2 separate regions of the Mus musculus genome follow, and region 1 is reported to be linked to region 2. Evidence: microRNA targets listed by miRTarBase, many of them from high-throughput screens and not tested one by one. Region 2 holds a microRNA gene; the other region holds the end of a gene's coding sequence.
Evidence for each region. Region 2 holds the annotated microRNA mmu-miR-764-3p (AGGAGGCCAUAGUGGCAACUGU, at 1,307-1,328, opposite strand). A microRNA usually pairs through its seed, bases 2 to 8, with sites in the 3' UTR of a target mRNA and lowers its output. Matches are read on the target gene's strand: a 7mer-m8 pairs with bases 2 to 8, a 7mer-A1 pairs with bases 2 to 7 and ends in A, and an 8mer does both.

Region 1 (3,114 bases), not on the chromosome of region 2:
GTAAGCCTCAACCAAGTGCTGTCCCCATACCCCAGTCCCAGGAAGTGGGGCCTGGAGCTGCGGGTCACTCCCTGCACTTTTCTGTTCTGCTGTAGACACAGCTTCATGAGCACGGAGCCGCTGTCTGCAGAGGCCAGCCTGAGCTCAGACTCCCAGCGCCTGGGAGAGGCCAAGAGGGACGAGGAACCCTGGGGCCCCATCGGTGAGCACACCCCACACACACTCACCCACCTTGGCACTTCAGAAAAGGGATAGGGCCCCTGTAGTCAGGCCGTGGCTGAACCCCTTATTCTCTCAACTCTTCCTGTACTTATACACCAATAAGGAGCTTGGCTTGAGGTTTCAAAACAAAAGTGCAAATTCGGGCCCCACCTCTTCTACCTGTAAACGAGGTCAATCTCTGCACTTGGCTGACTCAGATTCCCATCTGTAAAATAGGGATGTTGGTAAAGAGCCTCCAGAGTGCACGTATGGAGAGGGCGCAACGGCTTTCTAGTGTCATGACACTAGACACATGTTGCTGGCTCTGCCCACACACACACTGTGAACGGCTTGCCTGACCAATGTTTTCCCCTTTCTTTGGCTGCCAGGAAGCTCAGAACCAAATTAGTGGCTCCCTCTGAGCGAATGCCCAGGACTTCAACGCATGCATTTTGTGTTGACCCCTCCTTGGTTACTCCCTTCCTAGTTTCTTCCCCTATGCCTGGACCTCCTGCCTTTTTTTTTTTTAAATACATAGATATATATTATATTGTATTGGATAACTCGACTTTGAGACGAGGCAGGCTTTGGACATGTAACTCACCACACTGTGTTTGTGACTGTGTGTGTCTCCCCACCAGACTGTGAGCTCCGTGAGGGCAGGGACCATGTCTTGTCCATTCTCTGTATCCCCAGAGTGTGAAATAGAGCAAATGCTCACTGTGTGCTTAATAAATGGACAAAGAAAGGCTGAACCTTGGGGAGACAGAGACATAAACTGATGGTTTATGACACAGTGTCTCAAGCCCTGTGCAAGGAATGTTCAATCAAGGTTTAATTAAAAATGACAGATGCTCCAGAAGAGGCCACGTCCCCTGGGGGTGACTGGAGAACTGCCCCCCTTCTGCCCACCCACGAGGACCTCCTCCCCACATACAACACAGGCTGGTTGGCCCGGCCTTACCCGCCCTCTCTCCCTAGGGAAGGACCCCACGCCCTCCATGCTGGGCCTCTGCGGCTCCCTGGCCTCCATCCCCAGCTGCAAGTCCCTGGCAAGCTTCAAATCCAACGAATGCCTGGTGAGCGACAGCCCTGAGGGCAGCCCGGCGCTCAGCCCCAGCTGAGGAGCACCAAGGGCAACACCAGCCCCACCTGCCAGGGGCCATGGACAACTGCCACCTTATGAGTCCCCCAACCCAGGCCACCCTTCAAGAACACCACCAACCTAGCCTCGGGTCTCTAGGGAAAGATGACCCAAGCCTCTTTCCTGCTTCAGCTTCCTGCCAAGGAGGCAGGAGCTGCATGGGAAGTGGTGGGGCCACGAGGGACACCCAGATTACAGATCCTCAGTCCCCTGGGGACAGCGCTCCATTCTGGTGGCTCTGAAGGCTGCCTGGTTCCTTCTGATTTCTTCCACACCTGCCTCAGGAGCAGGTGGTCCAGCCCTGGCATTCCTGCTGCCCTGCCTCTGGTCTAACCCTGTGTACCCTCTGAAGTCACCCTTCCTTGGTACCTATGTGGGGAGAGATTAGGCAAATAAAAACCAGAGGACTGAAGTGGTTTCATCTGTTGGAGAGTGGGGTAAGGGCTCCCTAACAGGTCTGTTAACCAAGGTACACATGCCAGGAGGATGTGCCCTGGGGGACCACATGGGGCCATCATTCAGGGTGTGGGCTGAGTGGGAGGGGGCTCCGGATTCTGTACATCTGCAGGTGCTTTCTGGATCTGACCCTTCTAAGACTTGCTCTCACCCCAACACAGTGGGCCCCACATGAAAGGCCCTTACTACCTACCAGACAGGCACCTTTCACCCAGATCTGTCTGGGTACCCCCTAAGGTGGGAAGCTTTTAAGACAAGGTCTCTGGATGGCCTGGAGCTCAGTATGTAGGCCAGGCAGGCTTCAGATCTGCTCGCCATGAACTCTCGGGGCCACCATACCTGTAGATGCCAGCTTTTTGTTGCTGTTGGTTTTTTTTTTTTTTGTGAAGATAGAATTTGGCTGTGTAGTCCTGGCTGGCTTGGTATTGGAGGCACTCCTCCTGCCTCAGCCTCCCAAGTGAAGGAATAACAGGTGTGGGCCACTGTGTCTGACTGGGGACCCCCAAACGTGCACACGTACCCCAAGACACTACAGCCACAGCTGTGCACAGAAGACCATCATCTTTAGACAAGGAATGAATGGGGCCAAGATACTGCCTGGCCCAAGCTCCTCGGGCCAAGCTATAACAAACATGGGGATACAAAAAAGGGCGATCATCAGATTTGGTCTTGAATTCGGGAGGCGGGAGAGGGGCAATCCTGGGAAGGGAAACAGCAGGAATCCAGGTCTGAGGACAGCCTGGGTGACTGGACTGGGAGGGAAGGCACTTGGCTCAGTCTCCTGATCCCACCCGTGCAAGAGCCGGTTGCTCCCCGACTTTCAGCGGCCCAGAGGCTGCTCCTGGTTGAGCCTCTGGAAGAAGCTTTTGCCAAACTCGTAAGTGCTGATCATGATGGCACAGGAGGGTGCAGCCTTGATGATCCTGGGGAGGAAGCCTGTGATGGAAAGACAGACCACAGTGAGGGGTCCAGGTCCCCTCACACACACAGCATGGATATGTATCATATATGCAGTGCATTCACAGAGACAGACCTGCAAAGAGTCCCCTGGTGCCAGATTCAGCCCGGATTCTGCGAAGCAGGAGCCAGGTGGAGTCCACTCTGGGCGGCTTCACTGCAGATGCAAGGCCCGGCTCAGTAGGGCTCAGCTCAGGCCCCTGCCTGCCCTCTCCCCTCACCAGCCCAGCTTACCTCTCACAGCCTCCACCGCTCCCAGTGACATCTGTCGCTGTGTCTTCACCACATCGAAGGGTAGGGTAAGGGTGGCAGCCACCTGGTCAGGTGAGGACAGGGCTCAGCTCCATTCCCAAGCC
Region 2 (3,114 bases):
ATAATGAGCTATTCAAATGATGGCCTGAGTTTGATCTTATTGTCAACACTGCAAAAACAATGAAAACTGTAATGGTGAAATAGAAAGCACACTAGAATAAAAGATGCTATGATTCAATTGTGTAAAAGAGAAAGGCTCAGCTCCTAAGAGCATGGTCAGAACATCCTGCCTGCTAATTGCAAGCAGTGTGAATATGAAGAATATGCTTTTGTCTTCAATACAGGCATCGACCCTTATAAGTACTAAGTCTTCAAGAAATTCCTCTCATTTATACAGTCTATCAAATCCAAAATATATGAAAATTCAACATAATTTTAAAAATACGGATGATTTGTTATTAAAAGTGCAATTCTTAAGCATATTACCAAGGTTCATTTACACATAGAAAAGATGAAAACATTTTACAGCGTATTTCTATGTGATGAGTGTAATGACAATCTCATAAGACCAAAACATGTTTAAACTATATCCTGTGGTGTTGCAAATGATAGTGTAACTGGCAGTTTATGAGGTCAATCAGCGTCATTTAAGAAGTTACCTGTGATTCCTACTCAATAGTCATGCCTAGCCATTAGCCTTGTTTTACATTTTCTTTCAAAGTGAGGATAAAATATATTGAACTGTATATGTAAAGAGGGATAAAATTCAATTGTAGAATTAATGATTCAGATTAGACTCTTGCTAGAAGCTGTGATGATTACTATTATGAATAGAATGTAAATGAAAAAATCCATGCATATATTTGCTGTTATAAAATAGTTGTTGAATAAGGAAATAGTAAATTCATATGTTAATTATGATGTTTGTCAGGAAATTATTCTAGTGTTATATCATGTTACCATAAAATTCACAATTTCTTCAAATATCAATCTCCAGAGTCATAGAGTTTCATAAAACAATCTTATTCCTTAGATTGAACTTAATGCATTATTATGATTAGGAAGATTATAAAACATGATGGTCATATGCTAATGTTCTCACATATTCTTATTCTTATGCAAAAAACTGGCAGAGTATATAAACAACTAAAAATGTATCAGTTCCTTTATCGCTATATTTTCTTGTCTTTGGAACATACCAGTTGTCATTTTGACATTATGGTGTAAGGACAATGGATGGTTTAAACATTGTGTTTTTTTGGTAGAAATAATATGAGAAAACAATCCTGGTTTCCCAACCTTTACATTTCAAAAATTCTTTCCTTTGCTCTACCTTGAGGAGTTTAAGTATAATGATGGTCTTCCTGCTATAAGAAATATTACAACCGGCTTGTCAATCTTCTATCCCAACGAAATCAATCATGGTGACAGTTGCCACTATGGCCTCCTCCATGTATTTATAAGCATGGAGGAGGACATGTGAGCACCTGCCTCCAAGATTCAGATTGTGTTGATACTATGACACGATAACCTTCCAACAATACCACAAGGTACATAACAAATGAGTTCCTACTTTCATCATGATGTTTTTCTTCAGAAATCAAAGTCCTCATGACTTTTTAATTAGAATTTAATAAAATTTACAATGTAATCAATAAATGGTATTTTAAATGTTTCTTGCACAATGTTTTATCATATAAATAGAAATCAAAGATGATTTGATCAAAATATTTACACAATTTTTGTAACAGGAGGAACTATTTGTTTTGCATTTCATAATAAAATCAGGGTATAAAAGATGTTCAGTTGTGGAGCTATGAAAGCAAAAGCAAAATAAATACTAAAAATTATTATGAATATTCACTATTTTTACAGAACATTAATGAAAACATTGATAAAATTGTCAAAATCATGCTCAAAAACAAGAACTATAACCTTAAAATATAACACACAAGGATTTCATTTACAATACATTGGACTTATATTTGTTAAACTAAAGTTCATGGCAATGAAATATTATTGGGCAACTTCCTGTTCATCAGAATAATTTTCCTATTATATTTAAGGCATTTGGACCTGAATAGGTTCACAGTAGCTGTTAATAAATTATGAATGAATTTATTCAGAAAAATCAATGATTATTTCATTTAACGACTCACTTATTTCTGAGTAAATATGAAAAAAAAATACTTGGCATGGTGGCCCACATGCAATTTTAGTACCGGGTAGGCTAAAGCAAAAGTGGAGCAAATACAAGGTCAGTATGAGCTGAACTGAAAGACTTTGTTTCAAAAAGAAAAAAAAGAAATAAACCTCATCTATAACTGAAACATCACCGAGTCAGTAGCCTGGAAACTCACTAGATACAGATTCAACTTTATCCTCTTTCATGAAATGTTTACGTTTTATTAGGAAAGAGGACCTATTATTCATCATCATAATCATTTCAATTATGCTACACTCATTTAAAAAATTATACACACTCTTTTTATATAATACCTATGTTATTCAGTTGGGAGAAAAGAAGTGGAGAAGGAGGAAGAGAAGAAAAGTAAGAGAAGGAGGAGGAGGAAGAGCAAAAGCAATGAGAGCAGCCACCATCACCTTCTTGCTCAGTGTTGTATATTTTCTGAGGTTGGTACCATGTTTCAAATATCAATATGAGTTAACATCTTAATTTTTCTTAATATGCTTAATCCTTGCAAGGGCTTGACAAAGTGTCACAAGTCTATAGAAATTATCAGATGAACCACAGAATTTAAATTATACTCCGATTTTCCTAACACAATTATTGCACATACATGTACCTCTCTATGTATGTTCGCACACACACACACACACACACACACACACACACACACACACACTCCCAGAGTGATTAGAGTTTTAATTAACTTGAAATAATCAAATGCATACTGGAAGATTAATCTATTAACCTACTTTACTTTTGATATATCGTACATTTATATTTAATCAAAGATCTCTGAAGCTTTCTATTTCTGCACATTGTAAAAAGAGTCCATACACTTTTTGCTTTCATTCTTTCTGATTCTTTTCCATTTACTCAGTTTTTAAAGTTAGAAGTGTTTTAAAAATTGAAGAGTTAAAAATGTTCGGCAAAACAGGAAGAAAATATAGATTTACAACTTCATATTGTGTACTGAAACAAATAAACAGTAAATCACAACAACAAAAAACAAATAATATTTCTGATCATTGATTCCCAACTCTAGTT

Region 1: miRTarBase lists Slc25a39 as a target of mmu-miR-764-3p. Seed matches in the 3' UTR shown: 7mer-A1 at 2,228-2,234.

The regions. Positions count from the first base shown.
Region 1 is chr11:102,400,799-102,403,912 of GRCm38, forward strand. Slc25a39 (solute carrier family 25, member 39) reads right to left here. Exons shown (of 12, transcript NM_026542.3): 10 at 2,993-3,074; 11 at 2,835-2,915; 12 at 2,171-2,737. The coding sequence ends at 2,622. Rundc3a (RUN domain containing 3A) reads left to right here. Exons shown (of 11, transcript NM_016759.5): 10 at 96-202; 11 at 1,183-1,757. The coding sequence ends at 1,325. Among named protein-coding and RNA genes, the nearest start is that of Mir6930, 2.6 kb to the right of the region's middle.
Region 2 is chrX:147,000,538-147,003,651 of GRCm38, reverse strand. It overlaps Mir764 (microRNA 764), which reads right to left and starts at 1,393; the gene lies at 1,286-1,393. All of the region lies in intron 2 of Htr2c (5-hydroxytryptamine (serotonin) receptor 2C), which reads right to left.